Arabidopsis thaliana: one gene and its partners. The protein of the gene in region 1 interacts with the protein of each later gene in a pairwise test. Each region holds a gene or a part of one and is shown in the gene's direction. Other genes may lie near its edges. The genes, in order: MAB1, PDH-E1 ALPHA and E1 ALPHA.

Region 1 (11,379 bases):
ACATTTCTATGAAGAAATCAATTATTAACACTTAAAGTTATTAATTGAATAACAACGAACAACATTTAATTTAGTCAAAATTAGATTTTTTTTTTCTTTTTTTTGGTTTTATTGTTAAGATTTTATACCAAATAAAATTTTACAAACGAATCTAAAAGAAAGAACAAATTTAAACTTACCTATCAGAATTGTTGTAAGATATTTGGGTTTTCTTCGTATTAGGTTTCATCAGATCCAGACTCAAAAAATGGAGTCACCGCACTCGAATTTGCTCCCTGAAGTCGATTCTTTACCCGATGGATTCGTCGACGGCGCAACAGAGCCGCCTCTCAATTCTCCCAAGACCCAGGAAGAAACAACAAACCATGAAACTGTTGCGATCGAGAAAACAGAGAAGCCAAGAACTTTTCCGGTTCCGTTGTGTGAAACTGATGGTAATGAAGATGACGAAGTAGCTGACCTAATTCAAGAATCAATCAAGCTTGAGTTAGAGTTCGAGCAGAAAGAAAAAGAAGCTTCTCCTCCTATTTCTCAAACATGTGAGTGAAAATGTGAAGCTTAATTTCTTTATAGGAATTTGCTTCTTTTGTAACCTAAAGTTTGTTTCTTTGCTTTTTGTTTGAGTTAGTGTCAGAAGGGTCAACTCAAAATTCAACCTTGTCTAAGGAAATGGATTCACTCAAACCCAAAAAACAAGTCAGTATTTTGATGAGTTCTTCAATCTTGTTGCTTTGAGAAGAATATATGTTGAAGATGATGTATCTGATTTGTGTGCTGATGATATTGAAAGCAGGAGGTGGTTGAGAGCAAGCGTAAGGGTTCAAAGAATATGTTCAAATCAGAGAAAGAGTTTTTGGAATTTATGCTCAAGTATCAGCAAGTCCTTTCTGAAAGAGATTCTGGTAATAGGATATCAATAAAACCAAACTAGTTTTGTGTTACCTTCATCGTTTAATGCTTTATAGTCTGTACTCATCATTATTGTTTTTAACCGTAGCTATTACTGTTCGTGACAAGCTTGAATCACTTTGTAGAGAGTTACAACGTCAGAACAAAATGTTAATGGTTTGTTCTTTCTTTCTTCTTGCTTACTCTACTTGGTGTGTCTTGTTTTGAGGAACTAACCTTTTGGTGTGTAAACTAAATGTTCCTTTGTATAACAGGAAGAATGCAAGAGGGTTTCAACTGAGGGACAGACTTTAAGATCGGATTTATCGACAAAGTTCCAGGATGCTATAATGGTAAGTTGAACACATTTTTCTTTCGATGTGAATTCTTCCCAGGGTTTTGATCTTTGCTGAATATAGAAATTTGAGCCATTTTGCCGTCGGTATTGGCAGTTTTAGAGAGGAACAAGTATTGGATAATAGCTTTGTTTTGTGTTTCTAAGTATGCAAATCTTAAATGCACATCATTTATTGATCCTTGTTATATTTTCTTAGGATATTATCTCCTTTAATCTTCCGTGCTATATGCTTTGGACAGTCATGGCAATATCTTTTTCTTCTTTCTGAAACTCTCTACACTGACATTGGCAAATGTTAGTACCGATCTACACTAAAATTTAGTCCTTGGAAATAATTGGAACTAAACAAAGTAGAAAATTGTCCATATTGGTTTCAAGTTACAGATTGATAGAACTAAGTTTGATGAATTGCTTGCAGGCTTTTGCAACATCAAAAACTTACAAAAACAAAATCAGAATTTATTTGATTGATTTTTTTCTTATGCTCTCTACCTTCCTAATCCTCTTTTGTTTATAGGATGTGAGCATTAAGTTGGACGAGCAAAAGAATGAAAGCCTCACGCAACTCAAAGAAAATGAGATGTAAGCGGAAAGAACTCAATCATAACATGTTCATTTGGAGTAGGAAAATTATAGTATGTTTATTATATATGTATAGTTTTGTTGCAGTTTAAGTTAATACAGTATGAATATGCTCGCCCACATTCTGGAAACTATATTCTTACATGTGTATTGCTTTTAAAACGGCTTTGCTTGTATCAGCTCAGTAACATATTATAAAGGTCCATTCTAATTACAATGGGTTTGTTTCTTAATCTCCAGGTTAAGGACGAAGTTGAAGCACCTGGCTGATCAATTTATGCTTTCAGAACAACAACATGAGCAAAGGGTAATTAAATTATTCGTTTTTTCCAACTATATATGAAGCATGATTTAGCCAAAATAATTGGCTTAACTGCGATGTCTACTTGACAACATCTCATTTTCGAATGGACAGTTGAAGCAGAAAACACTTGAGCTACAGATCTCTGCTTTAAAAATTAAACAGCACGAGGAGAAACTCATCCATGAACAATCTCAGATGAAAGTTTACGCAGATCAAGTTTCTCAGCTTTTGTCTACTGAGAAAAATTTGCGGTTGCAGCTGACTTCTGATGGAGATAAATTCCAGCAGTTCCAGGTCTGCTCTCTTCCCCTTTTACACTTCCTAAATAAGTCTTAATCGTTTTCTCGATGCACTGTGATCACAGATAATAAGATTGCTTGCTTTGGGTGTGATACAATACTCTCTTAAGATATGTTTTTTACTGATATTATATGAAAAGACTGTAAAGTGAAAGGCTGTTTGGTTATGCAGGACGCGTTGGTTAAGAGCAATGAGGTGTTTGAAACATTCAAACAAGAAATCGATAAGGTAATAACAGTTTTATACCTTCGAGGTTCTTTGAAAGATCATAAGTGCTATTTATGTGATCTTATTAACTTGATCCTGTCTCTATTGGTTTTTTGAGTAGATGTCAAAAGCAATCAAAGAACTCAGAAAAGAAAACGCATTCTTGAAAAACAAAACTGAGAAGTCGGATATCACTCTCATAGAACTCGTCGAAGAGGTAAAACAAAACCGTCTGTTCTCTCACTATCTTTAAGGGTTTGTAGATTTTGGTTATGAAACCAGTAAAATCACACTTTTGGTTGACCTTGAACAGCGTGAAAGATTGAAGAAACTGTTGGAGAAGACAAAGAAACAGAAAGACAAGCTTGAATCACTTTGCAGATCCCTTCAAGCTGAAAGAAAACAGAAAGAAACTAACAGTACTGATTCTGCTGTTCAACCATGAAACAGAGAGAGACTATGAATTCAGTGTTTTGCTCTCTTTTTTTCTTTGTCAGAGTTTTGAACTAATTAGCACTTCAGATTACAAAACTACAATTAGACTCCAAATTCACTTTAAAATGTAGAAACATATCACATCATATTGATTCTGCTCTTTTGCGAGCTAAGTCCATTTTATCTCACAAAATGCAAATTGATAATAGTTAATTCAGCTGCAGCTTCTGCAAATCTCCAGGTTCACAAGAGAATGATTCTGCATTCACTAAGTTCACAACCGATTTGGAGAAGAATAGCTACTTCAACATCTGCCATAATGACCAGCTGATTCTTTGCAATCTTAAACCAAACCGAACCGAACCATTTGAACCGAAGAAAAGTTAAACCGATATGGATTATGATTCGGTTTGCATCTTTATGGATTCGGTTAGTTAAAAAAAGCGAATCTCTCTGAATTAAAATAAGTATAACGTCAAATTAAATTTGGTCACATCCACTTTCCTTTACAAACTTCAACAACATCAAATGGAATAATATAATATTGGAAAAGAAAAAGTATATAACGAAATGTCAACCATCGATCATGACCAGCAGATATTAATCGGACGGCTCCTGTACAATTCGATGAAGAAGACCTACTCTCTCATTTATTCAGCTAATTGAAATCATTTCGTTGTGTTTTAGAACAACAACAAAAAAACAGTGCCCTTTCGCTCACGCTTTGAGTCGTATCTGCTCTCTTCTTAATCCGCCGTCTCTCACTTTTTCGCCGGCGTGGTTAGATCGTACAAAGCTCAGGTAATCAAATCTATCTCCGATGTTGATCTACTCTGTTTCTCCGGATTTATGATTTCTCTATTCAATTTCCGATGATTGTTAGATCTACGGGGCTTTTGATCCTGCGATTACTGTTGCTTTTTGTTTGTTAATCAGAGAGAATGTTGGGAATCTTGAGGCAAAGAGCCATCGATGGAGCTTCGGTATGAGACTTTTTTACTCCTTTTATTTGTTTCAGTGCGATTACGATTTTGAGATTTTTACTTGGGAGATTTTTAGGTTCGGATTTTGTTTTCTGATTTTCGAAATTTGGTTTTTGATCAGACTCTTAGGAGGACGCGATTCGCATTGGTTTCTGCTAGGAGCTATGCAGCTGGTGCAAAAGAGGTAAAATGTCTTTTATTGAATTTTCGGATGGTTTAGAAGCGTTATTATACAGGTTTGGTTTTAATGAGCTATTGGAAGATAATTGTGGTCAATTTAGGATGATTAGAGCTGTTAATGTCTGCCAAACCACTTTTCTACTCTAAACTTTTTCTTTGGATGATAGCTTAATGTTGTCTTCTGCAAACTATGTCGATTACTTTTTTTTTTGTGTTCACCGAAATGTCGAGTTTAGCTATATTGGATGTTTTTTGATTTTGTAAACTGTGAGCATCCAAGAAGCGCAAGGGTCGATAATCATTGCATAGATGTTTAAGCCTATTAGCTTTCTCTCATTAGTTCTGACATTGAAAATGGTGGATTGATAGCTGACTCACATAAATAGTGTAGTGACATTTAGAATCCCAACAAGTGTAGCTTAAGTTAGATTTTAATTTACGTTTCGAGAACCCAATTTTTTTTTCATATAGTTGATAAAGCTGATACGGCCGTCAGTCTTTGTTAATATTTGTCAAACATATTTCTCCTTGTATGTGGAATTTCCCAAAATATTGTAATATTGCTTACAATTTTTTGTGCAAATCATTGTTTAGATGACAGTCAGAGATGCTCTAAATTCTGCAATTGATGAGGAAATGTCTGCTGATCCTAAAGTATTTGTCATGGGTGAAGAGGTTAGTTGCAGCTAACATGTTTGATAAATTCATCTTGCAATTTCTAATCAGATATCAATATCTCATCTTTTATCTTGTTATTGTAGGTTGGCCAATATCAAGGTGCCTACAAGGTTAGAATTATTTGACCTGATGGAAATAGATATTTTCCAGTTAAATTTCTCTTGTTTTGACCCTGATCTGATGCTGGAGGTCTATCATGTACTCATAGATCACTAAAGGCCTTTTGGAGAAATATGGTCCTGAGAGAGTTTACGATACCCCTATTACTGAGGTTTGGAATTCTTATACTATTATCTTGTACTGCAGTCTCAATCCTTATTTCCATGTTTCTTGATTGAGAAGATTTCTGACAGTTATCGTTTAACCATGTTTTAGGCTGGATTTACTGGAATTGGAGTTGGTGCTGCCTATGCTGGCTTAAAGCCCGTTGTAGAATTTATGACGTTTAACTTCTCTATGCAGGTTAGCGTTGGTTTTTGTTATATTCTTTGAATACTACATTTTGCCTCTTTCTTTGACTTGATTATGCATAATTGTTGCGTTACTCAGATCATGCACTCTGGTGCAATATGTTTCCAGTTATCGTACACTTTATCTTCTTTCGGACATTAAAGTGCACTAAAGTTCTAATTATTTCCCAATGTGTATCCTAATATCTAGTAATCTTCTTTCAGGCAATTGATCATATCATCAATTCCGCTGCAAAGTCAAATTACATGTCTGCTGGACAGATAAATGTACCCATCGTCTTTAGAGGACCCAATGGTGCTGCTGCTGGTGTTGGAGCTCAACATTCTCAGGTAAACGCTCACCCAAAAAAAATTGAATAATTTGTTACTTTGCATTCTTTCAAAAGAGACCTTCAGCTACTAAACTGATAAAGATATTCATATAGGATGATGGAGCTGGCTTTTACTTTAACATTGATCAAATTTCCCCTAAATAATTGAGGCATTGACTGATTGATTAAGATAAAGGTTCCTATCACAGTAGCATGCAACTGTTTCTCTAAGTAAGATTACACACACATGAAACTATGACTCTGTGGGGCGTAGAATGTTTAATATGATCAGTTCAAGGATACACAAGTTATCTGTGTTTATGACTGCTTGTGGCCTTGTAACTGTATCTCGATGTTAAATGGAGCTTTTCTTCTATATCTTGTAGTGCTATGCAGCGTGGTATGCCTCAGTTCCTGGTTTGAAAGTCCTTGCTCCGTATTCAGCTGAAGATGCTCGTGGTCTTCTTAAAGCTGCCATTAGAGACCCTGACCCTGTTGTCTTCCTTGAAAACGAGTTACTGTAAGTAGTATTCCTAATTTGAGTTCTTGCATGTGATTAGAGCCTACGGTCTCATATCAGTACCTCCTTAAATTGATTTCATCATGCAGATATGGTGAATCATTCCCTATTTCAGAAGAAGCCCTTGATTCAAGTTTCTGTCTTCCCATAGGCAAAGCCAAGGTACTGTCACTCAGTATCTATTGTCTTCTTCTTATGTGTCTCTTTCATCTTTCTTCTATCTAGCAGTTGGATGCTTTAATGTTGTCTTTGCCTATAACAGATTGAACGAGAAGGAAAGGACGTAACGATAGTAACTTTCTCGAAGATGGTCGGTTTCGCCCTCAAGGTTTGCCATTTCCTCCACTTTCCTTTTAGTAATTAAAACTGAGAACGTTCTTGCTAGTTTTATGGCTATAGCTCAAATATTCCTTTTGGATGTTGTTTTGCCTCACATGCTTTGTTTTTACAAACTGGTGTTTCTCTTTGTTCCGTCTTTGAATTATTTATTTAATGTACCTGATTCTAGGCAGCTGAGAAGCTCGCAGAAGAGGGAATAAGTGCTGAGGTATGAAGATTTTTAGATTTCTCTCTTGTAAACCTGCTTAAATCTGATACGTGAACTCTGAACTTTTTTCTTTGTTAAAATGCTTAGGTAATAAATCTTCGATCAATCCGTCCGCTTGACCGAGCCACCATCAATGCTTCAGTGAGGAAAACGAGTAGATTGGTAACAGTTGAAGAAGGTTTCCCACAACATGGAGTCTGTGCAGAAATTTGGTTAACTTCAATTCCTTAATTCAATAGAGATCTTATTATCACCTGGATTGTATAATAGTTTTAAAACACGGATTAAACTTTTTCCGTAATGGATCAGTGCGTCGGTTGTAGAAGAGAGCTTTTCGTACTTGGATGCACCGGTCGAGAGGATTGCAGGAGCTGATGTTCCAATGCCGTATGCAGCTAACCTAGAGAGATTGGCTCTTCCTCAGGTTTGTTTTGTCCCTTCTTTGCATCGAAAACTTGGTTCAATTTTGTCTGTTATTAATGAATTTGAGATGAAATGATTCTGCAGATAGAGGACATCGTTCGTGCATCAAAGAGAGCTTGTTACAGATCGAAATAAAATCGTCAACATCAACACATTTCTTCTTTGATCTTTAAAGGGAAAGGAAAATAAGAAAAAAGGAGAAAAATGATCTCTCTGTCTCTCACTTTTGCTATAAGAAACCACCATTCCTCGTGATTTATTTCATCTTTTGCTATTATTCTTTACTGCAGCGGTTTTCGTTTTTCTTTTTGTCCCTTCCCAAATTGATAATTCTAATCTTTGGGGTTAATTGATAAAAATTGATCGAGAATGCTAGTAAAGGAGTTCACAACACCTGTTTTTCCATCAAATAATGAATGAGGTGTGCCTAATTCATGTCTGATATTCTTTTATTCTCGTATTATTATTTTTGAAAACGGTATTAGTGAGTTAACCTCCAATGACGTTTAGCATATACTTTTGGTGATATAATTGTAATTTGATTTAAACGCTATTGATCAACCTATGGATAAAAAAGGAAAAAGCTTTGGTGTGGAAAAAAAATGTTGATGAAAACGAATTTAAACAAGTTCCAATATTTGAAGCAGCAATCAAAATGTTTGAACATCTATTCACGACAATTTTTAGCAACACTCTTATCACAAGACCAATCTTGGAAGCCTCAAAATCCATTTCAAAAACTATACAATTTAAAAGTAGGATTCTAAAGCTACCTGAATTATGTTTTTACATCAGAGTCAAAATCACATTTTCTATTTGTGCACTCTATTCTGCTACAAAGAATTTGAACTCCTTCAACCATTCTCTCTTGAAACGGAAGCAATCTCTTATTTTGATGCACTAATATAACTCCAACTCATTTCTCAATCATCTTTCCTATCTCCGGATCCCAAAAACTTCTGATCTGCTCCTGAAAAGTAAGTCCATCGATAGCCCGAGTGCTGGAGGAGGTTTAAGTCCCCATATGTACTTTCTAGAAGAAGCCCCACGAGCCCCGTCTTTGTTTGAAATCTTTCTCATTGATGTCCCTTCCCCAGACTTTAATGATCTCGATAACCCAAAAGAAGTCTCAGTCTTTGCACCAAATACTGAGGTTTTCTTTGATAGATCTTCCAATGGGTACCCAACTGCACCGTCCTGGTGAGGAGGCGGAAACTTCTCACTCTTGCTCTTTCCATTTGTTTGTGATATCGATCTCCATCTCTGCAAACACACATTAGCAAGGGGCAATATTACAGAATCTTCTGCATTGGAACGAAAAAATACCATGCTAGATAATTGACATGTATAGCTGATCTATAAGCCTATGCATATGCATGTATTCTCAATAACTTGATGCAAGCAGTGTGACTAAAACTAGTGAATGCGTTGAGGAATATATATATATATATATGCTCATATGAAGATTGTGTGTTTATGTGCGTGTCCATGAGTATAAATGGGATAAGATGAGGATTTTCTTACATCTAAGTTTGCTTGACTCTCGGCATTAGCTTCTGGGGCTGGAATAGCTCGCCCAGTGCGATCCCCTCGATACCTTATTCTTCTAGCTCCATCAATACCACTACCTTTTCCAGCAAGACCCTTTTGCCTAGAATTACAATGAATGCAGCCACGAGAAGAGACCGATTACACATCAGTCTAATTGATAGCATAAGCATCAAGAAAACACATAAAAGATGTAAAATTAAGTACCTTCTTAACTCTTCGTCCCTCAGCTTTACATTCAGTTCTTTGGAAGGTGGATACTTTGGTAAACTTGAAGGATCACAAGGTAACGGTTCAGTAGTAAAGAACTGCACATGCAAACCAAATAATATAGCACTTTGATCAGGAAGTGCTTTTGCTTGCATAATATGTGATCACAAACTAACCAAAAAGAATGAAAAAACTCAAAATTTGAAGTTTCATACGTCAAACAATTGAAAGATTGGAGGGCAAGGATTACTCACTTCACTATTCAATGCCGAGGTAGAAGTTCCTCGATCAGCAGGGTCTATAGTGAGAAGTGTCTCAACTAGATGCACAGAGGATGGAGTGAAACCATTGAAGGCTTCAGCCACACAACGTTTGTACGGATGTTGCGGCTTAAAAAGAGTTGCGTTTGGCAGTCTGTACTTCTTCCAGTACGAATCTGAAGGGGAGCCACATAATTTGAATATCTTATGAAGTTGTTCGACCTACAAAGAACAAATTAGGTAGGAAAAACAGTAAACAACAATGTTATTAATTTTTGGTTGTACATTCATTTGTGGTCCAACATCATACAGTTGGTTTTCAAAGATAAATCACCAAGAAGTATTAATTGCTCTCTATAATGCAAGCTCAAATAACAGGGCCTACACATTTGTATCATCTAATAGAAACTAAAGATTCCTAAGCAGACTAAATAAAACAAGATAAAGACGATTTTGTTTACCTCGGTTCTTCCCGGCATAACGGGCTTGCCAGCAAGTAACTCAGCCATAATACAACCAGCACTCCAAAGATCAACACCAGTTCCATAACTGGTAGCTCCAAGAAGAAGCTCGGGAGGACGGTACCAAAGTGTGACAACACGACTAGTCATTGTTTGCTTTTGCTTTGGGTCATAAAACGTAGCCAACCCGAAATCAGCAATCTTCAGTATTCCATCATTATCTATAAGAAGATTAGAACCTTTGATATCCCGATGTAATACTCCTCGACTATGGCAATGCTCCAATCCAGATAGTAGCTGCTTCATAAAGCATTTAACCTGAAGAACAAAAACAATAACACACCATTTAGAATGATCTAGATATAATTACGACAAAAGATCAAGCTTATTTTTTAGACCTCAACTTTTGTATATTCATATACAAGTTGATATCATTGTTACTGTACTTTCCATACTAAACTAATATGTAATTACTCAACTTAACAGCAAGTAAAAATATCAAATATGCAGAGATAATAAAAGAACCAAATCCAATGAACGGCAATTCATAAAGGATGTTGAAAATTCATCACAATCAGAAAACATAATGCAAATTGGGTCCACCGACAAATAATTCTAGCAACACCAAAAGCACACCAGAAACAAAACCAATCAGACGATAACATTACCATATGTGACCAAAACAAAAGTACCCTAAAGAAAAAAATAGAAAAACATAACATAATAACAGTGATTTGTTCTTGAAAAGAAACCTGAAAAACATTACAAGAATTTACTACCAAACACATTAACTTCTTCCTTATCTGTTCCATGCTAATTTAATAATCTTCTATTGATAAATAATCCACTGTCTATGGTATTAAAAACACAACACATTAGTCATACCTGAGGAAGATCAAACTTGAGACCTTGGGTAGCAGCAAGACCAGAAAGATCATGCTCCATATACTCAAAAACAAGGTAGAGACTACAGGAAACCCGTGAAGTAACCAAACCTTGAAGCTTAATAACATTAGGATGATTAAGCCGTCGTAACACAAGAATCTCTCTAGCCATAAATTTAACACTCTCAGCTTCCAAATTATCAAACCTAACTTTCTTCAAAGCTACAATCTTCCCACTCAATAAATCTTTCGCCTTGTACACATTGCTATACGTTCCTTGCCCAATCTATAACAATCAAAAACATTACTTCATTAAATTAAACCAAACATAAACTAATCAAAACAAAACAAAACACTTTCTAATTATACCAAACCTAGTAATGATTATTACTTTATTAATGATTAGTGTTTTTGTTACCTACCTTCTCGAGCTTTTCGTATGTGGTAGCTCTGCGAGGTGTTAAGTCTTTGATCGAATCGCCACAAGCAGCAATAAGCCAAGGTGGCCATCCTTCCGGCGTACGGAGACTCATCCCCGGACGGCGAGAAGAGCCGGCGGAGAAGTCGCCAGTGTGCCATGTTCTTCTCTCCGGCTGAATCTGAATCGAATCTAAATCTTTCTTCTTCTTCTCTCCGATTTCGACAGAAATGGCGGCGGTGGTGGTTGAAGAAGAAGAAGGTAAATCCTCCGTATTACGGAGGTCTGCCGGAGGAGGTTCATCGGGATTATTGTGTTTCCGTTTGTCTCCGGTGGATTCTTTGCATAAAACGCATCCCATCGGCTAAATGATTTTGAATCGGTGAAGCTTTCTCTCTTTAGCTTAACATTA
Region 2 (9,024 bases), on another chromosome or scaffold:
TAGCTGACCGAATAAGTATTGGTCTAGACTTAGCCGGAGATGGAGTGGCTGAGAAATTATTGCGGGATTGGTAATGGTGGCTAGTTCTTGATGGGGAACTAGGTCTTTGGCCACGACTCGGGCTTCCTGCTCCTGTTCTTGAGTAAGGCTGAGAAGTGTCGATTTCAACGGTTTTAACTGAAACCCTTTGGTCAACCGAAGCTCTACTACTAGCTCGTTTATCCCACGGTCTAGTAGCCATCCACCGGTCAAGCCATTTTGGCCTTTCCTCTTCAAGTTCTACCTCGTGGTGTCCTTCCGTGGATTGGTTACCAACCGTCCTCCACATCTTTCCATTGAAACGAAACGATGTTATCAACAAGCTCAATATATATAACAGACTATATGCCGGTTTAATTAATTTTACCTTTTGAGAGAAAGCTTGTGACAAATTAGTCTTGTCATGTCTCAATGCTGTGTCCCGTCTCCGTTGTAGCATCACTTTCACTGCGTCTATCGTGTGTGGTCGGTCATCCCAATCTTCCGCGGCGCTGCTTCCTTCTCTTGACTACAACAAATAAATAACCATAATTCCAAAAGACGTTAGCCACCATATGAAATTACAAACGCAATTTACAATTAACAAAAACAGAATTGCTTAAAGATTGAAAAATATACAAAATATGTATACCTAAGAGTAAAGAAATAATCAAGGCACACCTATGTGAATGCACCATTTGAACTAGATAGGCATGCTAAAAACAGCTTAACCTTATGAATAAACTAAAAAGCAAAACATGTCTATAACTAAAAAACATATCAATTGATTATGCTATAGTTTAGGCAAGGCCTAGGAGGCTATACTAACCATGGATTGTCGATCTGACAAATCTTGAAGATAGCGAGATTCAAAAACAGCGTGAGAGTCACTGAACGCGGATTTGCGACTACCGTCATGAGACAAGCGTTTGCGTTGGTCAAGCACACGAGACTGGACTCGAACCAGAGCTTGCATACACCTTAATGTCATTTTAGCTTGCTTTCTCACATTATGTCCCCTCACCAATGCTTGTAGCTTCACTAACCCTTTTAATGCTCTTAATGCTCTTCTTGCCTTACCAAATTAGAAAGAACAAAACTTATATCAAGACCCAAAAAAAAATTATCTAAATGAAATCCCAATCTTTTAAATGGTAGATCTTGTATAAGCAATGTTAATTTTATAGACATAGACACACATCATTGTCACTAAAAAGTGGTCTAGAAGTCAAGTTGGTTAAAAAAATGAAAGTAAAAATATAGGTCATTAATAATTGCTCACCAAATATCCTCTGAAAGAAGTCTGGATGACAACAGCAGCGTAATTTTCTCTTGCGTAATAAATCCGCCTCGGTGCGAGTGTCTTAGATGCTGACGTGGCGATGGGGACTACGGCGGACGGGGGTTTACCGGCGTTGGATGGCGGCGTCGTAGTTGCGTAACTCGGTGCTGTCTCCGGAGAGGGTTTTGAGTTTACGTTAAGTGAATCTTCCTGAGGTGCTGGTGGAGAGATACCGGAAGACTTCACCGGAGATTCTTGAGTCGCCGGTTTTCTAAACCACCGTCTCTTCTCTCTCTTCTTTTTTTAAAAAAACAGAGAAAAATGAAAACCAATAATCATACTTTGAATATAGTAAGCAAATAATAAGATCTAAGAATAAGAAACCTTTTCTTCATCTTCTTCGACGTCATTACTATGATCTTTCTTCGTCGGAGATCGGAAAGCTCGCTTTACAGCGGTGAGCCAAGAAGAAGAGCCGTTCTTTTTCCCCATGTGTAATGTGTTTAATTACTTTTGGTCTCAACAAATTATTACCACTCTATTGTCTTTATGTATCGGTGTTCCGTGAAGTTGAGATTTAGGTATTTAGCTGTAGATTTTTTTTTCAGAAATAAGGAGTGAGAGAGAAACAGAAAGTACAGATAACCTTTGGTTGCTTTGTAAGAAGTTGCTCTGAGTCTGACCACCTCTTTTACTGCAACCACGACACCAATAACTGTGTTTCTTTCTCTTTAATAAATTTTATCTTTTCACCAAATACATAGTATTATTAATTTATTTTGTTGGCATCGATATTAACATGAATATATTCGTTTTTGGGTCCATATTGATTATATACCGTGCGGGACAATATACGTAGACTAGATAAGGAGAGAGATTGCACGTTGTTTTAGCTCCATAATCTACATTTTTATTTATTTTTTTTCTGTTATTCTACTAAATGCCAATATTTGGCTTAGCGCATGCGTAATTTTTACTACTATTATATAAAGTTGGTTGGAATGGTAGTAGGATGAACAAGTATTTATCGAGATTCTAAACAAATTGTATAAATCATTTTTTTTATTAATTGACAAATATAATCAAACTTGGTGTCTACAACTACATGATTTTGTGAAGTTTGGGGTTAAAGAACTAATCAAACTCGTGATTTTTGGACCAAGACGAATGTACAAGAAAAAATGAAAATATATTGGATCGCATATGATATGTTTATTGAAGACTATAAATATGTCAAATGAAGAATTATGTTACTAGTGCGAAAAGGACATCCATCAAGTATTGCTTGACCAAGCTCGTGCTGTCACATGCATGATGGACCACGGTGGTCGTTCCCTAGAAACCAACCAACAATTTCTGGTCAAAGTCAAATCTCTTAATTTGGGCTCTTATCTTTTATTTATTCACGGCTATTAGGTTTGAAGGCCCAATACTGAAAACAAATATATGTAAAATTAAAAAATGGGCCTAGCGAATATTTATGCGGCCCATCAAATAATTGGATAAAAGCTTTATAAACTCTGCATCTCCCGTCTCCGCATCCAAACCCTAGAAATTTTGTCTCTCTCGCCGCCTTGCGAAAAGCATTTTCGATCTTACTCTTAGGTAGTCTATGATTCTCCATTTGATCCGTTTATACTTGTTATTGGCATTTCATCATCGTCTGGGTTGTTCGACTTACTCTAATTTTGGTTTAAAACGGATTTAAAGTTTGTTTTTTTGTGAATAAGCAATTAATCTATTGTTACTGTTTTTGAATCGTTTCAGGATAAAAAAATGTCGACAGTTGGAGAGCTTGCTTGCAGCTACGCTGTTATGATCCTCGAGGACGAGGGTATCGCTATCACGGTATCTTTCCTTTGACTCCTGCTTGTCTATTTCTAAATCTTGATTGGTCTCTTTGCTTTAGTCAGTAGGGTTTTGGAACCGTTTCTTTTGACTTGATAGTTAGAAACTTAGTGAAAATGATTCTTATGGAGTGATAAGGATTTGGTATAGTATTATTTGGTCAGGAATTGAACAAGTATTTTATGTATCTGTCTAAATGTGTTTTGAATTGGGTAAAGATCTTTACTTGTGTTTGTTTATGTCGTTGATAGGCTGACAAAATCGCGACCTTGGTGAAAGCTGCTGGTGTTAGTATTGAGTCATACTGGCCAATGCTATTCGCCAAGATGGCTGAGAAACGTAACGTGACTGATCTCATCATGAACGTTGGTGCTGGTGGTGGAGGTGGTGCTCCGGTTGCAGCTGCTGCTCCAGCTGCTGGCGGTGGTGCGGCAGCTGCTCCTGCTGCTGAGGAGAAGAAGAAGGTAAATGAAATAGCAACGATAGACGAAATCATTCTTCTAACTAATAAGTGATATAAAATTGATCTCATTTTGGTATTGCAGGATGAGCCAGCAGAAGAGAGTGACGGAGATTTGGGTTTCGGTTTGTTTGACTAAACGCAGTCACTTGTCTTTCTTCTTTGTAGTTGGATATTGGAGACTATATTTTGTCGTATGAGTTATTATTACTTGTTTGATCTGGCTAAAGGACTATTAGTTGGTTTATGATGCGTATGTTGTATAACTCAAGTTTCCTAGCAAACCAATCGGCTCGGGCTTTTGTTAGAATTGATTTTGTTTATTTTCTACCAAGTCTTCGTTCATCAAATATAGGTCTTTAATTTCGAAAACGTCAAACCATAAATGTTAAATCCGGTCATACAATATTTAGAATTGTCATCAAATATAGGTCTTTAATAAAATTGGCTTTTGCAGTAATGTTAGGCCGGCCCAATGCCTTTATTATCGGAACATGTTAGTGTTTGTTCTTCTTCTTACCCAGCAGCGTCTTCATAACATTTGTACGTCTATTGTCATACATTCCATTTGATGAAATTGAGATAAGGATAAATACGATAAAAAAGTAATGGGATTTTTCGTAAGAGAAATAGGAAAACCAAAAAATGTTGTTTAGAGGATTAAATATGTTTCATAATAATTTAGTAGTAACGGTAGGAATTAGGTTTTAAATTCAATTTTCTTTCTTTTAGAGTCAAAAGTAGTTGCATCTATAGCTCTACCTGATAACAAAAGATTTATGGGATTATATACAAATCTTAAAGAAAACGGATCTATTCTTAAAACTCAATTGAAAAGCCATATTTCTAAATGGTTAGAATTTTATGGTTATTCACCTGAATTTGTTCAGATCATTTTGTTAATTTGATGATTCCACTATTGATTAACCAATTCGAGTTAAAGAAGAAAATAAATTATGTTGAGCATACTTAACAAGGATTATATTTGTAGATCGGATCTTGAAATTAAGAGATGAAATGAAAAGAAAGAAAAAAACATTGGTGTTAACGAAGAAGGGTGGGTCCAAAATTGATTAAATATTTTTCGAACAAACAAATAAAAATATATATAAGTATTTAGAGCCGGGATCGTCTGCCTCCTCTGCCTCTCATCTCTTGTTCTCTCCGCCCATCTCTGCTCTCTTTTATTTTCCCAGAAAGTTTTTTTTTTTTTTTTCCGAATTCCGTTAATCTCATTGGGGTTTCCATTGATAGCAATGGCGACGGCTTTCGCTCCCACTAAGCTCACTGCCACGGTTCCTCTGCATGGATCCCATGAGAATCGTCTCTTGCTCCCGATCCGATTGGCTCCTCCTTCTTCTTTCCTCGGATCCACCCGTTCCCTCTCCCTTCGCAGACTCAATCACTCCAACGCCACCCGTCGATCTCCCGTCGTCTCTGTCCAGGAAGTTGTCAAGGAGAAGCAATCCACCAATAATACCAGCCTGGTACGCTTCCTCTCCTCGTCTCCTTCTTTTGGAATTTTACAAGTTGTGAGATTTGTTGTATTGATTTAAGTAATTTGAAATAGTTGATAACCAAAGAGGAAGGATTGGAGTTGTATGAAGATATGATACTAGGTAGATCTTTCGAAGACATGTGTGCTCAAATGTATTACCGAGGCAAGATGTTTGGTTTTGTTCACTTGTACAATGGCCAAGAGGCTGTTTCTACTGGCTTTATCAAGCTCCTTACCAAGTCTGACTCTGTCGTTAGTACCTACCGTGACCATGTCCATGCCCTCAGCAAAGGTGTCTCTGCTCGTGCTGTTATGAGCGAGCTCTTCGGCAAGGTTACTGGATGCTGCAGAGGCCAAGGTGGATCCATGCACATGTTCTCCAAAGAACACAACATGCTTGGTGGCTTTGCTTTTATTGGTGAAGGCATTCCTGTCGCCACTGGTGCTGCCTTTAGCTCCAAGTACAGGAGGGAAGTCTTGAAACAGGATTGTGATGATGTCACTGTCGCCTTTTTCGGAGATGGAACTTGTAACAACGGACAGTTCTTCGAGTGTCTCAACATGGCTGCTCTCTATAAACTGCCTATTATCTTTGTTGTCGAGAATAACTTGTGGGCCATTGGGATGTCTCACTTGAGAGCCACTTCTGACCCCGAGATTTGGAAGAAAGGTCCTGCATTTGGGATGCCTGGTGTTCATGTTGACGGTATGGATGTCTTGAAGGTCAGGGAAGTCGCTAAAGAAGCTGTCACTAGAGCTAGAAGAGGAGAAGGTCCAACCTTGGTTGAATGTGAGACTTATAGATTCAGAGGACACTCCTTGGCTGATCCCGATGAGCTCCGTGATGCTGGTAAATATCGACTTCCTTCTGCTTCTTGATGCTTGTACTGATTATCTAAGGGTTGAAACAACCTTCTCTTTAATTTGAATTTTTTTTTGCAGCTGAGAAAGCCAAATACGCGGCTAGAGACCCAATCGCAGCATTGAAGAAGTATTTGATAGAGAACAAGCTTGCAAAGGAAGCAGAGCTAAAGTCAATAGAGAAAAAGATAGACGAGTTGGTGGAGGAAGCGGTTGAGTTTGCAGACGCTAGTCCACAGCCCGGTCGCAGTCAGTTGCTAGAGAATGTGTTTGCTGATCCAAAAGGATTTGGAATTGGACCTGATGGACGGTACAGATGTGAGGACCCCAAGTTTACCGAAGGCACAGCTCAAGTCTGAGAAGACAAGTTTAACCATAAGCTGTCTACTGTCTCTTCGATGTTTCTATATATCTTATTAAGTTAAATGCTACAGAGAATCAGTTTGAATCATTTGCACTTTTTGCTTTTTGTTTGGTGTTACTAAACTATCACAAGGTTCTTCTTGTAGTTCGTTGGGTTTTCATTGGTTACCACTTACCAGAGAATTGTATTTTTTTTTTTAAAGATAATTATTTTGCAACCTCGGGTGATTACACTCTAAACAAGATGGGCTCTGCAACAGGAGCCAGTACCACCAATTACACACAATCTCGTATAAGAACAATACATGCCAATACAGCTTCCACAGCACAGAAAACTCTTTTCCTCTTTGCTTCATCTCTGCATAGCTTGCTTATAATATAGCTTTAAACCTCAAGATTTGCAGACTTCTTCATAGTAAGATCAAAGAAGACAGTGTTGTGGTTTGCATAACGATCATTTGGGTCAAAATATAGCTTCAAACCTCTGAGGGAGTTCAAACATAGCAGATTCTATCACTACCACCTTCCCTCAGAGCCAAGGAGTTGTAGATGTAGTGGTCAGAATGAAGATTGAGGATGAATGGGCCATTAGACAAGATTGCACTGGTTCTAATTTCATGGCTCCTACTTTCTTTGTAATTAAAGTGTTTGGTAAAGGGAATAAGAGACTTGAAGAAATGAAAATGTTTGAATAATTTTTTATTTTTTGATTTATAACTTTGGGCCTTTTGTTTATTTCATGAAAAACAAAACCTGCTACGCGAAAGAGAGTGTCTCATCTGACGTAGCGAATACCGAGCAGGATTGTAACGGGTTAAATGACCCGACCCGATTTGTTCTATTAATTTCTATTTCATTTCTTTTTTTTTTAATCATTCTTCTCAAATAATTTACTTTCTGGTCCTTCGATAATGGCGGCCTCCTGCTTCGCAATTCCCTTATCTTCTTCTTCTCGATCGTCTCACAATGCAATTCCCAAATACAAAACCCTAATCTCTTCTTCTTCTTACTCTTACTTAGAATCTCTGAAACTTCAATTCTCTTCTTCCAATTCTTTTCATCACTCTTCTCTTTCTCGTCCCTTTGTAGCTCAACCACTTCAAATCAAGGTCTCTTCTTCAGAATTATCAGTTCTCGATGAAGAAAAAGAAGAAGAAGTAGTTAAAGGAGAAGCAGAACCCAATAAAGATAGTGTCGTCTCCAAAGCAGAACCAGTAAAGAAACCGAGACCTTGCGAGCTCTACGTGTGTAATATCCCTAGAAGCTACGACATTGCTCAGCTTCTTGACATGTTTCAGCCTTTTGGAACTGTAATCTCTGTAGAGGTGGTACTTCTTATCCAGATTTGATTGATCCTACAATGCCTTTATGAAAATTCAAAGTTTTACTCTTTCAACTTAGCTTTGAAAATTCAAAGATCATCCACAATGTAATTTGAAAATACTTAGCTTTGAGTTCCATCAAGACGAATCAAACGTACTGGTTACTCTTTTGAGTATATGGATGATTGACAAGTATAGTGAGAGGTGTGCATTGCTTGGAAATGATGTTGCAGGTATCGCGAAATCCTCAGACGGGAGAGAGCCGTGGAAGCGGGTACGTGACAATGGGTTCTATAAACTCTGCCAAAATCGCCATTGCTTCTCTTGATGGAACAGTAAGAGCCCGGGAAACCAAAAAACAAGTCTATCTTTCTTCTGGTTGAGTGTAAAGTTGAGTGCTTTGGTTTTGTTGCTATATATGAAGGAAGTAGGTGGTCGGGAAATGCGGGTTAGGTACTCTGTTGACATGAATCCAGGAACAAGAAGAAACCCTGAAGTCTTGAACTCAACTCCAAAGAAGATTCTGATGTACGAAAGCCAACACAAGGTCTATGTCGGAAATCTCCCTTGGTTCACACAGCCTGATGGTTTGAGAAACCACTTTAGCAAGTTTGGCACAATCGTAAGCACGAGAGTGTTACATGATCGTAAGACCGGGAGAAACAGAGTCTTTGCCTTTCTTTCTTTTACAAGCGGTGAAGAACGTGATGCGGCTTTATCATTCAATGGAACAGTTAAGTTCGTTATCCATAAAAAGAATCTTGCTTGAGGAAACTTCTTCTACTGCTCTCTGGCTTTATCACAATCTCTCTTTTGCAGCAATATGAAGGTCGCAGAATCATCGTCAGAGAAGGTATCGAGAAGAGTGAGTCGTAAACCAACTGTTCTGCTTTTGCTGCAAAGACATCTCTTGGACACAAACAATGTGTAATGAATGTCTTCTGATTTCTTCGACAAGTAACCTTTACATATTATATCCTTCTCGATTTTGTTTATCACCCATTATATCTACCTGTATAATTCTCTTTTCGATCTTCTTCTTCGATTCATCTACTCTACAAATGAAAGATAATCGTCAAACCTCCCCAACTGTCGTCTCACTCTAACATTTTGCCAAACACTTGGTGTGCATGCAATACTCAGGTTCCAAATAAAGAAAACAGAACCATTAGCATCTTCATTTTGTAAGGCTTAACTCCGAGGATCCGATTCGGAGACCCGAATAAGGATTTAGGATCCACACACGACTTTCGTCACTCTCCGATTCCATTCCCCGTTGGAGAAGATCAACCAACTAGGGTTTTAAATCTCGGGAGGAGACTGAAAAAGGCCATAAATGATAAATGGGCTTTATATTTGTTTAGGCCCAGTG
Region 3 (9,642 bases), on another chromosome or scaffold:
GCATGATAATACAAATAGATGTCTTCTATTTTTCAGTGATTTTGATATGAAAGGGAAATTAGTATATATATCTACGTGACATATTGCCATCTTCTATACTGTGGTTATTGTCAATCTTGTCTCTGCTTATCGACTGGTCAGTAGTTACGTGGTGCTAAGGTCCAACTATGTTAATGTTTGCAGAATCCCTTGCTAATCAAGGTCAATGGCCAGGATATCCTAAGGTAGAGGACACCGAGGGGATTCAAATTTATGAAAGTAACGGGGGCCATGAAAGAGATCCAGACATCGGAAGTCAAAAAAATCTACTGTCTACAAACCATATGGCCAAGGCAATAAATGAACTGGATCTTACTGACTGTGCACAATGTACACCAAGTTATCGTCGCTTGCCAGATGATGTGAGCCCTTCTTAAACCTTAATGTTATTATCTACCATACTTCAATATAGCGTTGATTTTGTGCTCTATAATCATACGGTTGGCTTTCTCTTGTGTAGTATCCTATTCAGATTCCAAGCTACAGAAATTCACTTGGTGAAAAGGTGCTTAACGATCATTGGGTATCTGTCACATCGGGGAGTGAGGATTACTCATTCAAACACATGCGCAAAAATCAGTATGAAGAAAGCTTGTTTCGATGTGAGGATGATAGGTAAGACGTATATAGTATATATTAGGTTCCTGTATTTCTTTCTGTATTTAAACTGGAGTCTTTCAATAACATTGGGAGTTCATGATTGTTTTCTATTCAGTTCAGTCTTCCCTTCTAATTTCACTAAGTTGTCTGAAACTTTTGTGGATAATATTGTGGGGTTTCTCTGCTGACAATTGAATTCCCAAAGAAGTTCTACTTCCATCTGATCTATCAACTAACTGATATGGTTTCAGGTTTGAGTTGGACATGTTACTAGAGTCTGTAAGTGCAGCCATCAAGCGTGTGGAAAGTCTTCTGGAAAAGATTAACAACAATACAATCTCTATAGAGACACCAATTTGTATTAGAGAACACTTATCAGGCAAGTAGTTATCTTATCAAATCTGGCTGTGATAAATGTTACTATGTATGTTTATTATTCTTTTACTTTGCCTAATGACCTTATATGTGACTAATTGATAGAGCTGAACCTAAGATGCATTGAGCGGTTGTACGGGGATTATGGGCTTGATGTCATGGATTTTCTGAAGAAGAATTCTCATATCGCCTTACCTGTGATTCTAACACGCTTGAAGCAGAAACAAGAAGAATGGGCTAGGTGTCGCGCTGATTTCAGGAAAGTATGGGCTGAAGTATATGCTAAGAATCATCACAAATCACTCGATCATCGTAGTTTCTATTTCAAGCAGCAGGACTCCAAGAATTTAAGCACAAAAGGTAAGTTTTCTTTCAGGACTACAAGTTCATTTTGTTTTGACTTTGAACCTAATTTAGGTTAAAAACCCATTCATTTCGTTTGGCTACAGTTGAAGCTCCATAGAAGATTTTGTGGATATTTCATATTAGCAATTTCTTTCTCTACAGGGAGAGTTCTTAATATAAAAGCGTCACTGATTGTTAGAAGAAAAAAATGATGAAACAAAGAGAATATCTTGTATCATTTAAGTGCAAGTTTGTGTCGACTAAAGTTGGTTGTTATGTCCCAAATGCAGGTTTAGTGGCGGAGATTAAAGATATCAGTGAGAGAAAGCATAAAGAAGACCTGCTTCGTGCCATTGCTGTTGGAACTAAGCCCTCTTTCACCCCAGATGTGGAGTTCATTTATACTGATACAAAAGTTCATACTGACCTATATAAGCTAATCAAGTATTATTGTGAGGAAATATGTGCTACTGAACAGTCGGATAAAGTAATGAAGCTATGGGTAACCTTTTTGGAGCCCATGTTTGGCGTTCCTTCTAGGTCTGAAACTATTGAGACAATGAAAGATGTTGCAAAGATCGAAGACAACCAAGAGCACCATGATGCAAGTGAGGCAGTGAAGGAAAATACATGTGACGGTTCTATGGCCTCAAACCTTAAACCGTTAACACCTCCAAAAATGCCTAACAAAGAAAACCCAATGATACAAGGAAGCTCTTTTGCGCAAGATTTGCCAGTCAACACAGGAGAAAGCATTCAGCAAGATAAACTGCATGATGTTGCAGCTATAACTAATGAGGTAACCGTATTGTTTCTTCCTGAGTACCTTTGTTCTTGACCTGAGGCCGTATTCACTTTTCACTGAGTAAATATAGTCAAAGGTTCATAAATCTGGACTAGTGGTGGTAGAGCGTATTTTACTGTTGGGCAATAAATGAAAGTTGCTTAAGTTTTCATAATATTCCTGTATGTGAAAAAAGATATTTCCTTGATATTTGTTTTTGTGGTTCTACAGGATAGCCAGCCTTCCAAACTGGTGTCAACCAGAAACGATTTGATAATGGAGGGTGTAGAGAATCGTAGTAGGGTCAGTGATGTATCAATGGGAGGGCATAAGGTCGAGCGAGAAGAGGGTGAATTATCCCCCACTGAAAGTTGCGAGCAAGAAAATTTCGAGGTTTATAAAGAGAATGGGCTCGAGCCTGTGCAGAAACTACCAGATAATGAAATAAGTAATACAGACCGAGAACCCAAAGAGGGTGCATGTGGTACTGAAGCTGTAACAAGGAGCAATGCCCTCCCTGAAGATGATGATAATAAAATAACTCAAAAGTTATCAGAAGGGGATGAAAATGCCTCGAAATTTATTGTCTCAGCAAGCAAGTTTGGTGGCCAAGTTTCTTCCGATGAAGAGCATAAAGGAGCTGAGAGTGAAAATGAGGCTGGAGGGATGGTTAATTCCAACGAGGGTGAAGATGGATCCTTTTTCACATTTTCAGAACGGTATCTGCAACCTGTAAAGCCCCTTGCAAAGCATGTGCCTGGGACACTGCAAGCAAGTGAATGCGACACCCGGAATGATTCTCGAGTTTTCTATGGGAATGATTCACTCTATGTGCTTTTTAGGCTTCATCAAGTAAGTGCTACGAAACAACCTTCTCATGTTCCTCAAATGTCAATTGTCTCAGTCCAAACCGCTAATTCTGCTGATTTTCCAGATGTTGTACGAGAGAATACAATCAGCAAAGATACATTCAGAGAGGAAATGGAAAGCTCCAGATAGCACATCTACTGATTCTTATACCAGGTGGTTTATTTTCTAAGCATCATTGGTACTTTTTAATTGAAAAAATATTATTTCCTAACTGATATTTGAAAGCTTAGGTTCATGGAAGCCCTTTACAATTTACTTGATGGCTCTAGCGACAATACAAAGTTTGAAGATGAATGTCGAGCTATTATCGGAGCACAATCATATGTTCTCTTCACATTGGACAAGCTAGTTCAAAAGTTTGTTAAGCATGTAAGCTTCCATTTTACCTTGTTATCGTCTTGACTCTGCTTCTGTTCTCTCTCCTTTATTTTTGTTTGCTCCGCACTAATCATTTAAGTGGCTTGGACATGCTTCAGCTTCACGCAGTCGCAGCTGATGAGACAGACACCAAGCTTCTGCAGCTATATGCATACGAGAACTACAGAAAACCAGGAAGATTCTTTGATATAGTGTACCATGAGAATGCTCGAGCCCTTCTCCATGATCAGAACATATACAGGATTGAATATGTATGCTTCTCTTGATATGTGTGGATACCTGTTTATATGTTCCCATATACTAATCTGTATTTGCAAATTTCTGTGCAGTCATCTGCCCAAACCCGTCTCGGAATTCAACTTATGAACAGCTGGAATGATCAGCCTGAAGTTACAGCTGTAACAGTGGAACCAGGTTTTGCTAATTATCTGCAGAATGACTTTCTTTCGTTTGTCAGTGATGAAGAGAAACCCGGACTATTTCTGAAAAGGTGAATGAAGCAATGATTAGAGCATAACCTTTTTTCGTCTTCAGTTGTGGTAGTACAGTTAGTAATCACCTTAGCATACTCTTTTCAGGAACAAGGCAAAATTAAGTGGTCCGGGTGAAGAATCTCTAGGGATGTCACGTGCCTTGGAAGGATTGAACATTATCAATGAGGTTGAATGTAAGATAGCTTGCAGTTCTTTCAAGGTAAAATACTTTCTTGTGAATCTCTTGCACTGATAATCTTTTCTCTTTTCACATGTATATATGATTGATGAGAGTTTACAATCTTCATTAGGTCAAGTATGAACCACACACAGCAGATCTTTTATATAGAAGAAAGCAGAAGAAAGCAACACTGAATCCAACTGGACCTGAAAATGTTAAAACCTCTGATAGTAGTGAACTCTCGAGAAAGAAACGAATATCGCGCTTTCACATGAGTCTTAACCGCAGACTTGTCGCCTTGCCTTAACTCAAGAACGCCGTAAGTAACCCTCTTGTCTTTTATTTGCCTGTGGTGATCAATACTGCAAATCATCAATAATCTCTAACTCACGATAAATTGTGCAGGTGTGAAGTTCTTTGCTGAGAATGAGATATGCAAGAATGAGTAGTAGTAGAGAGAGACTAGAGAATAACTGTCTTTGACAAAGATTCTTGCATCATTTTAGGCTCAAAGAGATTCACATGGCAACAACCATAGTTTTTATCTTCTACAGTCTACACTGCAGCTGGAGCCGCCAGTTTTGCTGTATAGTGTTAGAATATCTTTTTTTTTTTTAAGGATGATGCTAAAATTGGATATTTTTAATTCATTCATTGAACAATTATTGAATTTTCCTTCTAATGTTAAATTCTCTTTCAAATTAATAATCTCTTTAATCACATGTTTTATTTATTTATTTTGGTTTATCCATTTGGTTATTTATCTTTAATCACATTTGAGTTTGATTATATAATATGATTTTAAGAGAATATGAATATATATTGACTCTTTTATCACAGGTGTCACGTGACTCACGTGAGGCTGTGTACGGAAAACCTTCTTATCCTCTCAGAGTCTCTTATATTAGGATCGCTATCTACTGCTTCACTGAAATTGTCCTCTCAGTTCCTACGCGAAGTTTTCAACAGATTCGCCGGAGAATCTTCGAATCAACGGCGGAGAAATGGCTCTATCACGCCTCTCATCACGATCCAACATCATCACTCGTCCCTTCTCCGCCGCCTTCAGCCGATTAATCTCAACGGACACAACTCCGATCACAATCGAGACTTCGCTTCCTTTCACAGCTCACTTATGTGATCCACCGTCACGCTCCGTCGAATCATCGAGTCAAGAGCTTCTCGATTTCTTCAGAACCATGGCGTTGATGCGACGTATGGAAATCGCAGCCGATTCGCTTTACAAAGCGAAGCTAATCCGAGGGTTTTGTCATCTCTACGACGGCCAAGAAGCTGTAGCTATAGGCATGGAAGCTGCGATTACAAAGAAAGACGCGATTATTACTGCTTATCGTGATCACTGTATTTTCTTAGGTCGTGGTGGTTCGCTTCATGAGGTTTTCTCAGAGCTTATGGGAAGACAAGCTGGTTGTTCTAAAGGGAAAGGTGGATCTATGCACTTCTATAAGAAGGAATCGTCGTTTTACGGTGGTCATGGGATTGTTGGTGCTCAGGTTCCATTAGGTTGTGGTATTGCTTTTGCTCAGAAGTATAACAAGGAAGAGGCTGTCACATTTGCTTTGTATGGTGATGGTGCTGCGAATCAGGGACAGTTGTTTGAAGCTTTGAATATTTCTGCTCTTTGGGATTTGCCTGCAATTTTGGTCTGCGAGAACAATCACTGTAAGCATTTTTGCTTCTTTCTTTCTTTCTTTCTTTCTTTGTAGGTTTGTTTTGTCGTAGTATCTGATTGAATTTGATCTGTGCAGATGGAATGGGAACTGCTGAATGGAGAGCCGCTAAGAGTCCATCTTACTACAAGCGTGGTGATTATGTTCCTGGACTCAAGGTCAGCTTTTGAATCTTATTTGTAACAAGGATTGATGTGTGAGGCTTGTTAAGATGAGAAAGGGAAGTTTTGATTGGGTAGATGGATTAGTGTCATTTCCTGAATGATATAAGTTTCTTAGTTTCCATATAGAAACAGGTAGAATGCAAGTCTTAAGTAACTTACTACTACTCAGCTTTCATTTATAACCTCTCAGTTTAGAGATGAATGTGACTGTCTTATGGATAATGATTGTCATGAATCTTCTATTGTTAACAGAGATATGGTGTGCATCATTACCTTGTTCTTATTAGGTTTCTTGTAACCTGCATCAAGTTAGCAACTTTCTTTTGAGTTTGACCGGTTGCTGGTTTGTATGGATAAACAGGTAGATGGTATGGATGCATTTGCTGTCAAACAAGCTTGCAAATTTGCTAAGCAGCATGCGTTGGAGAAGGGGCCAATAGTAAGTTTGTATTTTAGTATTATCAGACGTTTTGTTTTTTTCCCCTTTGGTCCTTACTCATCTGGCGCATTTTGTAAATTTGCTATGAGCAATATCTAGCTGTCCTGTAGGACGTGAAGTATTAATCTTTCCTTTTGCATTTTTTAGTTGATATTTACTTCCCTTCAGTTCCTCTTTTTGGACACTGCATTCCAGTAGCTGAATATTGATGGGGTGGCTGGTTCTTTCTGTGCAGTTGCAATAGAAATTACGCTGTATCAGTGTATATCAAAGAAGTGTGTTTTTGATATCGCTGTTGTTCATATAAGTAGTAGCTTTGGTTTCCAATTTATTTTCCTGTGTTTATTCTTTCCTATCATATGGATTACAGAAGCATTAATACATCGTTTCTTCTATACAGATTCTTGAGATGGACACATACAGGTACCACGGTCACTCCATGTCTGATCCTGGGAGCACATACCGTACCCGAGATGAGATATCTGGTGTGAGGCAGGTTCGTTAGTCTCTTTACCTGAAAAATCATTTCTTGGTCGAGGACTCAGCTATTGATGAAATCTCAAAAGTCAAAACATTTATGTGCTACTCTATATGACTCAGGAACGGGATCCAATTGAGAGAATAAAGAAGCTGGTACTATCTCATGACCTAGCAACCGAGAAAGAGCTTAAGGATATGGAGAAGGAAATTAGAAAAGAAGTAGATGACGCCATTGCCAAAGCTAAGGTAAAACAACAGTTACATTACTACTTTCAAAGCGTAAACTCGAGACCCTTATGCGAAAATCTCTGTACCGTTTCAGGATTGCCCAATGCCAGAGCCTTCTGAGCTCTTTACCAATGTGTATGTGAAGGGATTTGGCACCGAGGTACTTCACTAATTAGATATTCATATTGCACCACGCCCCTTGAAACTATAGTTAATCTTTCTTATTGACCCATTTGTTTTCTGTTGGCAGTCATTTGGACCTGACAGAAAAGAAGTCAAAGCTTCCCTTCCATGATCATGGAGCTCTTGTTCGTTAAACTGCCACGTGTCATGAGAAAGTTGGCTGATAGAGAAATCTATGAATATGAATAAAGATCTGATTGTATACTCTCTCTCTCCCCCCCCTTCTGAACTTTAATCTCTCTGTATCTTTGTTTACAAACATAAGGAGAAACAATGTTATTCTTGTGAAGCTTTAGTAGTCTCGTGTTTAATATTCAAGCAATCGAGTTGAGATCTCATTTTGTGCTGCACTCCAAATAATATAACAAATTGAATTACAAACAAAGGCCAGTGGAATGGTTTCTTCTGTTTGTATTCTTCGTCTTTCCCAAAAAAAAAAAAGAATTCAACTTTGGCGTAACCAATCCATGAACCCGAAAAAAAAAAATCAACAAAACAGGTAAAATTGAAAGAACCATCTTCAAAGAACCTAATGAATATTTTTACCAACAAGCTCCCCTATCATTCTGTATATACATAATAACAAATGTAAATGATATTTTTTTGCTTTTCTGGTTATCAAGATTCTGAGTCTGAGTCACTTGAACTGCTGTACCTTGAACTCTCTGACATGAAATTTGGAGGCAGAATTGGAAATCTAACTGCGTTCCTTTGCGGTGCAGCAGCAACGCTCGGAGTTTCTGCTGGTGAACTTGATGCTCCTGCTACTGTTGTTGCAGGTCGTTGTTGCTGTTGTTTCCGTTGATTCCTTGCGATCTCACTACATGCATTATCAACCATCCCTAAGAAATCACGGATTATAACAAACAGTTGAAACAGGTTCCTCTCTTTCAATGCTCCAGCTTGGTAATAGTTTGTAGTTTTCTTCACTAACTCCATTATCCTAAGCTGTTCTTCCGTAATAACTTTCAGTTCTTCCTCCGCAGATTCAAAGAAAGATCTCAGCTTTGTTAAACACCCATCTTCCTTCCCTTTGCTTTGGTCTAAAAGACGTTTTGTTTCTTTCACTCGGGTGCCTAAAGCCAAGGTCGTAGCTACAAACGAATCATAATCAATTCCAGCCGCTTTCTTCACATTAGTGAACTCTGAACTTAAGCCACCTATAATGGGTAAACCCATCTTAATAAATTCAATCTCTTGTTCTTCTCTAGACATATCTGCATTCTCGCCACTACCATTATCACTAGACATCATGTTCTTATTCATTGCAGCTCGCTTTCCTTCAGACCTTACAACTTCTTCAACAACAAAATGAAGTAAGGTAGTTTTCGCATCAACACTCTTCACATCAGACAATTTTCTTAAAGCTGTCAGATTAAAAGCCTGAGCATTTCCCCTCGCGGTTCCAGCGTTCATTCTATTACCTGCTTTCAAGATTGCTTCTAGCAGCTTCATGAACAGCCCACGAGCACGGAGCTCGTTGCACGCGGATTCAAGTGTTAGTAAAGATCCCTTTTGTTGAGCAACCTCAGAGCCGTAGTTAATCTTGAAAAGCATAACGTTGAACCGGTTAAACGCGGAAGGAACTGCTTTTAAGATGTGAAACAGTAGAGAATCTGCATAAGCCAATGTCATCGGTTCACCATCGAAATCTATGATTTCTGTCTGTTCTTCTGGCGTTGGAGCTATTCCTGCAAGCTTCTCAAGGGTATCAGACTCAGCATCATGGCCTTCTGTTAACAAGTCAATGATCTCTTCTTTAGTCATCCCCAAAGATTTAAGCACAATTGCTTTGTTCTGAGATTTCCGAGGATCAAGGATATAAGTCTGATTATGCGGTACACTGTTTGAGACTGTCTGATTCTGCGGTACACTGTTTGATTCACTTGGTTTTCGAGCAACGTATCCAAACAAAGCCTCCATGAGATCACCATCAAAGCTACCCAAGAAACAAATATTATAACCGCATAAGAACTCAAAATCATACAGTACTTAAGAATATCACATTCCACATTATATAGACTTTAATACTTACTTGAAGGAGCCACCATCAATCTTGTGCCACACCATAGAACGGCTTGCATCAGGGTTCATCTTATCCCAATGTAAAGGCTTGAGCTTCGGCTGCGTCGGATCCTCAGTTTTGCCTACGGCCAATGAAGTCTCACCTGACTTTGTTGGTCCTTTTGGATTACCAGGGGGTTTAGGTGGGCCCTTCTTCGACATTGGAGGAGGTGGTGGCGGTCCAGCTCCTTTCTTACCTGGTGGAGGAGGTGGTGGTGGTGCAGCAGGTCCTTTTTTAGGTGGTGGTGGGGGAGGTGGAGCCGCAGCAGATGGTGGAGGTGGTGGTGGTGGTGAAGTTTGGTTTGCTGGACCAGGCGGTGCTGGTGGAGCATTTGCCGTGGTGAATTG

The links.
Region 2: the proteins of MAB1 (region 1) and PDH-E1 ALPHA interact in a two-hybrid assay, tested with the Arabidopsis thaliana proteins (one large-scale study listed by BioGRID).
Region 3: the proteins of MAB1 (region 1) and E1 ALPHA interact in a two-hybrid assay, tested with the Arabidopsis thaliana proteins (one large-scale study listed by BioGRID).

Annotation. Positions count from the first base shown.
Region 1 is NC_003076.8:20,685,656-20,697,034, forward strand, and holds MAB1 (Transketolase family protein), read left to right. Parts: upstream 1-3,587; 5' UTR 3,588-3,875; intron 3,876-4,010; 5' UTR 4,011-4,015; coding exon 4,016-4,057; intron 4,058-4,178; coding exon 4,179-4,241; intron 4,242-4,831; coding exon 4,832-4,912; intron 4,913-4,998; coding exon 4,999-5,025; intron 5,026-5,123; coding exon 5,124-5,186; intron 5,187-5,290; coding exon 5,291-5,377; intron 5,378-5,589; coding exon 5,590-5,715; intron 5,716-6,082; coding exon 6,083-6,216; intron 6,217-6,305; coding exon 6,306-6,378; intron 6,379-6,478; coding exon 6,479-6,544; intron 6,545-6,724; coding exon 6,725-6,763; intron 6,764-6,850; coding exon 6,851-6,975; intron 6,976-7,072; coding exon 7,073-7,187; intron 7,188-7,270; coding exon 7,271-7,321; 3' UTR 7,322-7,815; downstream 7,816-11,379. Other genes in the region: AT5G50840 (alpha-taxilin-like protein), read left to right, coding at 248-539, 629-696, 791-902, 998-1,065, 1,164-1,241, 1,764-1,828, 2,069-2,135, 2,244-2,426 and 3 more; AT5G50860 (Protein kinase superfamily protein), read right to left, coding at 8,123-8,449, 8,711-8,837, 8,942-9,042, 9,199-9,426, 9,666-9,983, 10,551-10,835, 10,972-11,328. UniProt on the Arabidopsis thaliana protein: The pyruvate dehydrogenase complex catalyzes the overall conversion of pyruvate to acetyl-CoA and CO(2).
Region 2 is NC_003070.9:45,007-54,030, reverse strand, and holds PDH-E1 ALPHA (pyruvate dehydrogenase E1 alpha), read left to right. Parts: upstream 1-4,726; 5' UTR 4,727-4,864; coding exon 4,865-5,095; intron 5,096-5,178; coding exon 5,179-5,956; intron 5,957-6,048; coding exon 6,049-6,326; 3' UTR 6,327-6,797; downstream 6,798-9,024. Other genes in the region: IQD18 (IQ-domain 18), read right to left, coding at 1-328, 407-547, 848-1,093, 1,301-1,597, 1,685-1,792; AT1G01100 (60S acidic ribosomal protein family), read left to right, coding at 3,077-3,148, 3,400-3,612, 3,694-3,747; AT1G01080 (RNA-binding (RRM/RBD/RNP motifs) family protein), read left to right, coding at 7,242-7,658, 7,886-7,987, 8,077-8,385, 8,472-8,528. UniProt on the Arabidopsis thaliana protein: The pyruvate dehydrogenase complex catalyzes the overall conversion of pyruvate to acetyl-CoA and CO(2).
Region 3 is NC_003070.9:22,046,319-22,055,960, forward strand, and holds E1 ALPHA (pyruvate dehydrogenase complex E1 alpha subunit), read left to right. Parts: upstream 1-4,814; 5' UTR 4,815-5,049; coding exon 5,050-5,728; intron 5,729-5,814; coding exon 5,815-5,894; intron 5,895-6,261; coding exon 6,262-6,339; intron 6,340-6,739; coding exon 6,740-6,835; intron 6,836-6,939; coding exon 6,940-7,065; intron 7,066-7,141; coding exon 7,142-7,207; coding exon of another isoform or gene 7,208-7,219; exon of another isoform or gene 7,220-7,241; intron 7,242-7,297; coding exon 7,298-7,342; 3' UTR 7,343-7,567; downstream 7,568-9,642. Other genes in the region: SNL5 (SIN3-like 5), read left to right, coding at 184-401, 500-654, 891-1,018, 1,120-1,374, 1,650-2,158, 2,375-2,995, 3,078-3,166, 3,244-3,382 and 4 more; AT1G59910 (Actin-binding FH2 (formin homology 2) family protein), read right to left, coding at 7,849-9,169, 9,266-9,642. UniProt on the Arabidopsis thaliana protein: The pyruvate dehydrogenase complex catalyzes the overall conversion of pyruvate to acetyl-CoA and CO(2).